Linked DNA regions of Mus musculus. The protein of the gene in region 2 binds, or shares a complex with, the protein of the main gene of each other region. Links are inferred from orthologs where the notes say so. Each region holds a gene or a part of one and is shown on either strand. Other genes may lie near its edges.

Region 1 (3,651 bases), on a different chromosome or scaffold from region 2:
GACAGTCCAGTTAGGGTCCAACAGTGCTCATTCCTTGGTACATTCACCAGCCAGTTCGTTTCTATTGCCAGGTAGTGGGTTTCATGACTACAGGGTACCTAAGCTGTGTTTACAGGGGCGTGTGAGGTCAACTGGACAAGCCAGGCGTGTGTCTGTTAGTAAGGATTGCAATTTTAAATTTAAAAGTAGATCCTTGCTTCACATAATTATCTTCTTTATTGGTGATACTTTTATTCCGGAGGAAACCTATCTGAGGATAATAGATACTGGGGAACAAAATGAAATGTTGTATGACTACCTTTGAAGGTTTCTTTCTTTTGGAAATGCTGTTGGTGGCTGTGAGTAAGCCTTGCCTGCCTCCTCACTGCTTCAGGGAGTTAATGACACAACCACTAAGGACCCAGACACAGGAAACGGAACGGGGTCACATACAAACTGTTCATCCTGCCCTGACATCACTGTATCTCAACGAATCTTTAATAAGTTGAGAGAATTTCTTCAGAAGTGTTTTAAAGCTTGGGATTGGGGGTTATGCCCTTTACTGTTTGCAAGCAAAGCCCTAAGCTCTTTTTTGGAACTGTCAGTATTGCAGTTAATTTTTGTGATTGAATTTCTTTGTATGCAGTAATATCCCCATCACCTAGACCTTTAGGATAACGTATTAAAAGGCTTTCAATTTTGTTACTAGATTGAATTTTTTAGATCTCACCATTAATAGAGTTGTAATGTCCTTTTTTCTATTTGTGTGACACTCAGCATGAAAGATTCTCTAATTAGATATTAGCATATCTTGAGCTGTTGTGTACTTACGGTGAATACTGAGAAGTGAGTCTTCCTCCTTAGAGAGAGGACTGCTCAGGATGCAATTGAAGATAGTAACTCTCTACATGTCTGTCTAAAGTGATATGCCAGAGGTTGGCAGTCATATGTGAGGGCCATCTTGTTGGGGGTTGGTTTAAGTGGAGATTCTATAGTGACGTTTAATCCTGGATTGTCTCTGTGTCCCCTCTCTAGGATCTTTGGAATTAGATGCTCCTTCGCAGCCAGTGAACAATCACCACGCTCATTCACATACTCCCGTGGAAAGTAAGTCTGGCTCAAGTACAGTTTAGCACCGTACATGTCACCTGTATGTGCTCTTTTATTAGCTCTACATAAGCAAATGAGAAACGTCCTTTCCTTTCCCTTTTTAAAAAATCGGCTTTTTCCAAACCCAGACACTATTGCATATGCCAGCAAGATTTTACTGAAGGGACCCTGGTGTAGCTGACTCGTATGAGGCTATGCCAGTGCCTGGTAAATACAGAAGTGGATGCTCATAGTCATCTATAAGATGGAACACAGGGCCCCCAATGGAGAAGCTAGAGAAAGCACCCAAGGAGCTGGAGGGGCCTGCAACCCTATAGGTGGAACAACATTATGAACTAACAAGTACCCCCAGAGCTCGTGTCTCTAGCTGCATATGTATCAAAAGATGGCCTAGTCAGCCATCATTGGGAAGAGAGGCCCCTTGGTCTTGCAAACTTTATATGCCCCAGTACAGGGGAACGCCAGGGCCAAGAATCGGGGTGGGTGGGTAGGGGAGCAGGGTGGGGGAAGGGTATAGGGAATTTTCGGGATAGTATTTGAAATGTATATAAAGAAAATACCTAATAAAAGAAAAAAGAAAAACAATAGGCTTTTTATCACAGTTTACGTGTAGACTTTTCCATTTAAGCAACATATATTTAATTTGGGAACAGGAAGTCTGTTCTATCAGCGCAGAAACAGATATAAAACAGATCTAGGGAGTGGTACGACTGACCCAACTATACACTTCTTCATGTAGGCCCATTTCTTTCAGCCTTGCCTTCCAGTGCTTAGCTGATATTTATCATGTGATAAAATCTTGTTATTAGTGAGTTAGTGAAAGGGGATTATTGGTTGCTACATTTTTTTGACAAGTCAATTCAATAGGAAAGAGAGGTAAATTGGAAGCTATTCTAAATGGTAGGCAGTATATTATGATGGACTTTCTCTCGTGATAATGTGAAACCGTAGTACATCGTGGATTGTCTTTAGTTTTTTGCTCCTAGTTTCTAAAGTGCTTGAAATGTCTGTTCTCTCCATGAACCACGTGACAAAGACTGTTTGCTTGTCCCCTCCTTGGTGAGCATAATGGTCCATTTCACAAGGAACCGAGATCATAACTGTACTGATTTATAAAGGGGTGGAAGTATTCCTCTCTGTAGTCCCCTGAAGTTTGAAATTTGTGAATTTTCTTTTTATTCAGAAAGGAAATATAATCCAACTTCTCACCATGCAGCAGCAGACCATATCCCTGAGAAGAAATTCAAATCTGAAGCGCTGCTGTCCACCCTTACATCTGACGCTTCCAAGGAGAACACGCTGGGTGAGTTTCGTTTCTCGAAAGTGGTAATTTGCTTGTTTTGTTTATGTTGGAGTAAGGGATAGAGGAGCGCTCAAGATTATAATCCACACATGTGCTACCTCTGAAGTCTACATGATGATAAGAAGGAAAAGGAAAATTGCCTTGTATTTTCCAGTTGATTCAATCCCTAAAGTATATGAAGAATTTAAATTTAATTTTATATATGGGGAAATAATTTATTTCAATCTCAGAAACCTTATGTACTCTGCAACCATTTTTTTTTCTTCTTTACAGGTTGTCGGAACAATAATTCCACAGCTTCCTGCAACAATGCTTACAATGTGAACTCGTCCCAGCCCCTGGCCTCCTATAACATTGGTTCATTATCTTCAGGGGCTGGCGCAGGGGCCATCACCATGGCGGCAGCACAGGCCGTGCAAGCGACAGCACAGGTAATAGTCGTGGGTAGAGGCAAGTGCTACATTGGTTCCCGTCACTGGCAAACCTCAGTAGGAGCCACTAGGTGTTAGCAGAGCTTTCAGACATCATATAGTTTGAGCTTGAAGTTGCCCTTTTAGGCTAGTTGGTGTTTTAGTAATAATGCAGAGAAGTTATTGGGTATAGAGTGACGCATCATGCCATCACGTTGACCCTTTTCCCAGTTAGTGCACAAGTTACCTTCCTGTCATCATGAGGACAATATCTGCTCTTTCTGTACCATTGGGCTTTTATCTGTGTTGGCTGCAGTTAGCTCATTTCTGTGGTTTGCACATAGTGTGAGTTAAGACATTCTATTTCCCATGTTTATTCTCAGCTTAGCATGAAAAAGACTCTGAATTTTTCCATGACTTAAATAACCATAACGTGTAACACTTAAAGAGAAAATACATATTTACATATATTGATGTTGTCAATACATGTCTACTTAAGATGAAAGAAGGGCGAAGAACATCGAGTTTAAAAGCCAGTTACGAAGCATTTAAGAACAATGACTTCCAGCTGGGAAAAGAATTTTCCATACCCAGAGAAACAGCTGGCTACTCCTCCTCATCGGCACTCATGACAACCTTAACCCAGAATGCCAGTTCCTCCGCCACGGACTCGCGGAGTGGCAGGAAGAGCAAGTAAGTTTCCCATGGCAGTGTGTGTCTTTGTTCAGGGTTGTTGTGTGGAGCTGTATCCATACATCTCCAGGGATTAACCACAGCAGGGTACAGTGATCCAGGCTAAACACTGGATAGGCAGTTGGCTCTCTGCACTGCCTCACCTTGAAGGCAGGA
Region 2 (3,751 bases):
TCAAACCTATTCTTGTTATTCAAAGTCAGAAGATGCACCTTCTGCTGGAAACTAAAAGAAAGACATGAAACAAGATTTTCCTCCCTGCCACCCCCAGGACAGGGCTTATCTGTGTAACCCCGCTTGTCCTGGAACTGACTCTGTAGACAACGCTGGCCTCAACTCATAGAGCTTCGCCTGCTTCTGCCTCCACTGCCAGCCTGCTTTTACTCTGCCTACTTGCTCTCACTCTCGTTGACAAGTCCGCTCCTTCACTGTCATTAGCGCCTACTTCTTTGGGATTCTGATGTATAATGAAGACCAACTGAGACATCCATTCTTGTTGACTGAATGCCTACTGGAATTTTGAACCTTCCATGTATACAGCCACATATATACTATTTTAAAAATAGAAATCCAGTATTAACGGAAAAATCTTGCTAAGCCCCCAGGCCTGTGCAATCTTATGCAGACACCTGGGTGGATCTCTAAATCCCTTCAGGTCTACTGACTCCCCAGGGTTCAAAACCCCACTCCTTAGCTTCTTACTCAGGGTGACACCTCACACTGCCACTAAGAGGCTCGCCAGAACACTGCCTCTAGACAAAGCCTAAACATGATCTGAGTGACCGGCGTCGCACCCGGTGGGCGTCACGTGACAGACTCGGCGTTCCTCCAATCGCTGTGCGAGGAGCGGGGATTCCATCTAGTACTTGGCCTCAGGTTTACAACGTCCTGCTCTTCCATTCCCCAAACGGGCCGGCTTTTTGCTACCAACCAGCTAGCAGTGATTCTCAAGTGTTTCCCTTTCAAACAGCTTCAAGGGGCTCGGGCCTATAGCGCACTCAGCTCCGGAAGTGACGTCTCCCAGAGGGGCCGGAAGTGGCAGTGGAGGGAGGGAAGATGGCGGAGGTGGTGAGTCCGGTGCCCGGGGCGGGGCGGAGGGAGCCAGGGGAGGTGGGTAGAGCCCGAGGCCCCCCAGTAGCCGACCCTGGCGCCGCGCTGTCTCCCCAGGGGGAGATAATCGAGGGCTGCCGCCTGCCCGTGCTGCGGCGCAACCAGGACAACGAAGATGAGTGGCGTGAGTGACGTCGGGGGGCGGGTCCAAGGAACCTGAGGGCGAGGGGCGGGAGGGAGTCAACGATCGCACGGGAGGGGGAGGGGCTTCTGCAATCCCGGGGCGGTCGCAGATACTCGGGAGGAGGGGCGTGGCTTTTGGACGTACGGAGATGATCCGGGCGGGGCTTGGAGAGAGGTGTCACTTGGTGACTAAAGGGGTCTTGAACCAGCCCCTCTGAGTGCTGGGACACAGGCCTCCAGCCTGGAGGTGGGATTCAGGTCGAAGGGTGGAGTCTCCTGACCTGCCCTGGCTAAGACTCCCTGTCTGTGTGGTTCTCATAGCCCTGGCTGAGATCCTGAGCGTGAAGGACATCAGTGGCCGAAAGCTTTTCTATGTCCATTACATTGACTGTGAGTCCTGGGCCTGGATGGAGTGGGGTTGCTGGAGAGGGTTGAGGGCAGCCTCTGGCATTCCCTCCTGAGCCGTTTTCACTGCTGCAGTCAACAAACGTCTGGATGAATGGGTGACTCACGAGCGGCTGGACTTAAAGAAGATCCAATTTCCCAAGAAAGAGGCCAAGACACCTACCAAGAACGGACTTCCTGGGTCCCGCCCCGGCTCTCCCGAAAGAGAGGTGGTGAGTAGGTCCCCCATTTCATCTTTTCTCTCCTGCCTCTTCCTTCTTGCATCTCTTGGCCTCAGGGGTTCCTGAATGGGCAGGAGGCAGCATTCTTCTGCCATGGCTTCAGCTTGCAAAGGATGGGGACCAAGTTGCAGGCGTAGCTTCCAGAGTCCAGCACTGCCTTGCTTTAGAGAAGGCAGAGGGTGGGATTCCATGCTGAGGGGCCCATCCCCCCCTTCGCCATCCCACCACCATCCCCACCCCAGAGGAAGACCCTGGACCTATCTCTGCAGCCGGCCTCCGCCCAGGCCAGCGGGAAGACCTTGCCAATCCCGGTCCAGATCACACTCCGCTTCAACCTGCCCAAGGAGCGGGAGGCCATCCCAGGTGGCGAGCCTGACCAGCCGCTCTCCTCCAGCTCCTGCCTGCAACCCAACCACCGCTCAACGGTACCCTCAGCAATTCCAGGGACCTTGCTTTCTTCTCAGGTCCCACCTTCTCTACCTTCTGACCCACCTTTCCTGGTTTCTCTCTGCAGAAACGGAAGGTGGAGGTGGTTTCACCAGCAACCCCAGTGCCCAGCGAGACAGCCCCAGCCTCGGTTTTCCCTCAGGTGAGTCTTCCAGTCTTTTTTCATGTGTCTGAATGTTTTGTCTGTGTTTTGCATGTGTTCTACTTGCATGCCTGGTGCAGGTGGGCAGAAGAGGGCATTGGAGCCACTGAAACTGGAGTTAGAGATGGTTGTGAGCCACTCTGTGGGTCCTGGGAAAAGAACCCAGGAAGTCCTCTGGAAGATCAGGGCTCTTAACCACTGAGCCATCCCAACAGCCTGCCTGGTCTTTCCCCTCTTATTCCTTGCTGTCTAGCATCCTCCTCCAGGATCATCTCACGGTCGCTCTTTCTCTTGTGTCTTGTCCACAGAATGGGTCAGCCCGTAGGGCAGTGGCAGCCCAGCCTGGACGGAAGCGGAAATCTAATTGCTTGGGCACTGATGAGGTGGGTCTTGAGGAGCAGAGGGAGAGGGAAGCCGGGAAAGGGGGAGTGGGCTTGGGCATGGTGTTCACTCGGTGAGGCCTTAGGCAGGGAGGGTGGTGGCTGGGAGCCAAGCAGATGAACCCCTGGGCCTCTTCTACTCTCAGTTTCTCAGCCTCGCTTTATTTTGGAAGTGGAGGTTGGTGCTTTGCCCTTAGCTGATGTTAGACTTGCAGGAAGAAGCCAATGGCAGTGTCGTGCGCCACGCTCTGCTTAACTGCTACCATCTAGTATTTGCCATCTGCCTTGGGCAGGATTCTCAGGACAGCTCAGATGGAATACCGTCAGCACCACGAATGACTGGCAGTCTGGTGTCTGACCGGAGCCACGACGACATTGTCACCCGGATGAAGAACATTGAGTGTATTGAGCTTGGCCGGCACCGCCTCAAGCCGTGGTACTTCTCCCCGTACCCACAAGAGCTTACCACGCTACCCGTCCTCTACCTGTGCGAATTTTGCCTCAAATATGGCCGTAGCCTCAAGTGTCTGCAACGCCACTTGGTATGAGGGGTCTTGGGAGGCTGCCTATCCAGAGTACCCTCACCAGTCCCCACCTGATCCTCCTTTTGTCCTTAGACCAAATGTGATCTTCGGCACCCTCCAGGCAATGAAATTTACCGCAAGGGCACCATCTCCTTTTTTGAGATTGATGGACGGAAAAACAAGGTTAGTGGCTTGGGCACGGCTGGGCTGGAGTGAGTCACATGAACAACCTTTTCCTGCTCAGAACAGTTGACCATTCTGCCTATGAGCAGGTCACTGTTTTTATTGAATTCTTGACACGGAGCAGGGAATGTACAGAAAACTGGGATTTAGAGAAATTTTCTTTCCTGAGAGGTCACTGTCACGGCAGAGCAGACATGACAGCTACTCAGGTTCCAGTAACAGAGGGGGTTCAGCACAGTTCACAGGAAGCTGTCATCAGAGCTTGGAGGTGTGTGTGCCTATAATCCCAGCACTCAGAAAACTCCCGAGTTCAAGAGTAGTCAGGGGACTAATGAGTTGCAAGCCAACCTGAGCTATAAAGTAAGAAAGACCTATCCGGAACCAAAACAA
Region 3 (3,107 bases), on a different chromosome or scaffold from region 2:
AGTTGGGGGTGGGGCGTGGCTGGGAAATTTGCACGTTAAGATTAGAAAAAAAACACGTATATTTCTGATAGAAGTTAACACATACCCCATGTTTCCTCTGCTAAGAATTAAAGCTTTGGGGCTAGGACCTGGGCATAGCTCATAAAAGAATGGCAAGAAGGGGCAATTAAGAGTACTTATCCTGGTGTAGAGGTCAGAACCACAGAAGTAGAGAACATCACTAACAAACCAGGCTGCTCCAAGTGTCACGTGTAAGCAATCTGCCCAGAGAAGCCACACCAAAGAGGGAAAATAACTTGACCTTAACTGCTACAGCAAGAATCTTTTAAAAAAGCTTTTGACTTTTAACTATGTGTCTGTGTGGTGGCATATACATGTCCACAGAATTACCTGAGATGGCCAGAAGGCACCAGATCCCCTAGAGCTGGAGTTACAGGTGCTTGTGAGTTACCAGAAACAAACTTGGGTCCTCTGAAACAGAACAGGCTGAGCAGTCTCTCCGGTCCAAGAAAGGAATTTTTCCTTTGAAAGCCAGTTTTCTTCTGTGCCACCCAAATACCTCGACCCTGTATTTGCTAGTCTCAGGAACATAAAAAGAACACCACACATTTTTTTTTTTGCTTTGAAATTTAGAAACAAGTTTTATTTAAGATCTGAAATACAATTCCTAAAATATCAACTTTTCAGAAAACTGTGGCTACACAATAATGCATTGCCTCTATCATGTTAGAACGTGCATTAGACTCAAATACAAAAACCAGGAAACAAATCACCATCCTTCAACAATTTGAGCAAAGATAGAATGAATGCCTAAGGAACAACAAAGATGGACTTGCAGAGGATGGGCTGTTTACAGACGTCAAGCACCATAAAAAAAAAAAAAGCACAAATGCATGGGTTTCCAGGTATATACATTAAGTTGAACCTTTGGCACTAGGAACCAGGGCATCTCATCACGTAGCATTAACACATATTAGAAAACTGTGTAGTGTCAAAGGGATAGAACCACCAGCATTCAAGCAATGTTGTCAACTAGGCAATAAAATGGTCTACTGAATTTCTTCTTTGTCTAATTACTGCATACACTGGTAGCAACTTTGAAATGAGGAAAGGAGCTGGGCACTCCTTTTATTTTCTGTCTACAACAGAACAGGAAAACAAACTGAAACATAAGCCCTGTTTTACACTGACAGTTTTAAAGAACATCAATTATACCATGAAAGGACTAAACAGAAGTGTTTACAGATACCAGACAATAGTGAGCGGTCAGTAGACCTTCACAGGGCTTTGCGATGATAGTCAGCAGAAGCCACTTTGTAATCACTGGCAGTAAACAGAGAGGCAGAATTCTTTGCCAGATACTTAAGGAAATCATGCAGATAGCCCAGCAATAATGCCAGGCTTTTCTCATCAAGGGGCGTATAGGCCAACATTGCCCCAATTCTCACGAATAATCTCAGGAGGTGTGGCGCCCCATAGATCTGCGACATCGGCGCATCAGGGTGAGCCAGCAGAATCTCAGCATACTGAGGCCTTTCAAACTTGTACAGCAGCTGAGTGCCCAGCATCACATTGAAATACTCTTTTATCCCTCCTACAACTTCATTAACTGCGTACTCCTTATTATCAACATTTCCCTGCGACTTCTTACAATTGGCATACTCCTCAAGAATGGCATCGACATTCTTTTTAGCAGGGAGCTGGAACAACTGCTTCTGCCTCGTAACCAAGTCCCAGTCCTCCACCAGCCACGGTTTTAATTCTTCAGGGATCTTCACCTTCACCTCCATCCTACTCTTGAATGCCTCCTCGCTCTCCACAGTGGGGTCAGCCCGTGCCCTTTTCTTCCGAGGGGGCTGGGGGACTTCACTGGTACTGCCTCCGTCTCCGTTGCCAGGAGCCTTCTGCTTGTTCTTCCTGGTCTTCCGCACAGAACCGGAAGGGGGGTTCTCAGCAGAGCGACCTCCCCATCTTCCGGGCAGGGCTGGATCGAGATTCTTTGGCTGCGAACCAGCTGACTTCTTTCCCGAGGCAGCTCCTCTCATCTTACTTCTCTGCATATTGCTTCGAGTTGGTTTCTTAAAGTTGTCTTCTTCAGCAGATTGTTGTCCACGAGTTTGAGAAGCCTGCTTTCTGGAACTCATTCAACCCTGTTTTTATTCCAACCACTGTAATACATAAAGTATTGTATTTGGTTGTTTACTATGGTGACTTAATGACCCATCAGACCACAACACATGCTAAAGTCTGTTGGAATATATATAGATTTTGGGTCCTATTGCAGAGGACCATCTGTAAGTGCTTTTCTGTCTTCTATCTCAAAATCCTCACTCCCACCCACAACTCTTGCCTCACCTAACAACTCAACAGACACACCCACAAATTCGTCTCTTGATGCTATTTAAAAGATAAGGATTTATTTTTAGAGAAAGATACTGTGACAAAACCATAGAAAAAAGCAGAGATGAAATCAAGACTTTGGAACAAGACTAAGAATTTGAAAGATATTTAAAAAAAAAGAATTTGAAAGAAATAAGGAAGTTGGAGGTAAAGTCTAGGTAGGCCTTGAGTACTGTGATGGCAACATACACAGACCTAACACCGAGGAACACAATGATCAAAGGTTAGAGTCAAAATGGGTTCTGTATGACTAAGCCCGGGTAGTTTTAGTAAAGTACAGAGTTTTAAAGAATTCGTTTGACACCATCAGTAAACAAGGCTAGTCCATCGATAGTTACATGCATAAAGGATCTCTTTTAGTAACTATTTGCTAGAAGAGATGAGAAACTGGGAAAGGAGTTAGTGACAACTTTCAGGCTTTAAGGATGGATGCTCTTGTATCACAAGTAAACTGCTTAGAGGAGAAAGGTACTTAGTTTTGGACTTTTATATCTGGAGAGTGCACTCAAACAGAGAAATGGAGATTTATTATCATGTAGCTTGAAGCATACACTATAAACCAGTGAACGTTTAAATAAAGAGAGAGAATTGCATACATAGAACTCCAGAAAAGATAGGGAAGAAAGTATTTGAGGAGTTAGCAAGAAAGAGACCACAGGTAAAATGGTGAGACTTTCATCGGAGAGTTAAGATTGTGACTTTAGAAG

What was found.
Region 1: Kat5 (region 2) and Ing3 share a complex: the UniProt entries of both Homo sapiens proteins name them as parts of the SWR1-like complex. The link is inferred for Mus musculus from reciprocal best matches to the Homo sapiens genes KAT5 and ING3.
Region 3: Kat5 (region 2) and Morf4l2 share a complex: the UniProt entries of both Homo sapiens proteins name them as parts of the nuA4 histone acetyltransferase complex. The link is inferred for Mus musculus from reciprocal best matches to the Homo sapiens genes KAT5 and MORF4L2.

The regions. Positions count from the first base shown.
Region 1 is NC_000072.6:21,966,613-21,970,263, forward strand, and holds part of Ing3 (inhibitor of growth protein 3), read left to right. Parts: intron 1-1,014; coding exon 1,015-1,086; intron 1,087-2,272; coding exon 2,273-2,392; intron 2,393-2,665; coding exon 2,666-2,823; intron 2,824-3,301; coding exon 3,302-3,495; intron 3,496-3,651. UniProt on the Homo sapiens protein: Component of the NuA4 histone acetyltransferase (HAT) complex which is involved in transcriptional activation of select genes principally by acetylation of nucleosomal histones H4 and H2A.
Region 2 is NC_000085.6:5,607,161-5,610,911, reverse strand, and holds the start of Kat5 (histone acetyltransferase KAT5), read left to right. Parts: upstream 1-817; 5' UTR 818-882; coding exon 883-894; coding exon of another isoform or gene 895-993; coding exon 994-1,060; intron 1,061-1,167; exon of another isoform or gene 1,168-1,380; coding exon 1,381-1,449; intron 1,450-1,539; coding exon 1,540-1,676; intron 1,677-1,927; coding exon of another isoform or gene 1,928-1,954; coding exon 1,955-2,110; intron 2,111-2,199; coding exon 2,200-2,274; intron 2,275-2,582; coding exon 2,583-2,657; intron 2,658-2,947; coding exon 2,948-3,196; intron 3,197-3,271; coding exon 3,272-3,361; intron 3,362-3,751. UniProt on the Homo sapiens protein: Catalytic subunit of the NuA4 histone acetyltransferase complex, a multiprotein complex involved in transcriptional activation of select genes principally by acetylation of nucleosomal histones H2A and H4.
Region 3 is NC_000086.7:136,732,334-136,735,440, forward strand, and holds the end of Morf4l2 (mortality factor 4-like protein 2), read right to left. Parts: intron 2,169-3,107; 5' UTR 2,145-2,168; coding exon 1,278-2,144; 3' UTR 609-1,277; downstream 1-608. UniProt on the Homo sapiens protein: Component of the NuA4 histone acetyltransferase complex which is involved in transcriptional activation of select genes principally by acetylation of nucleosomal histone H4 and H2A.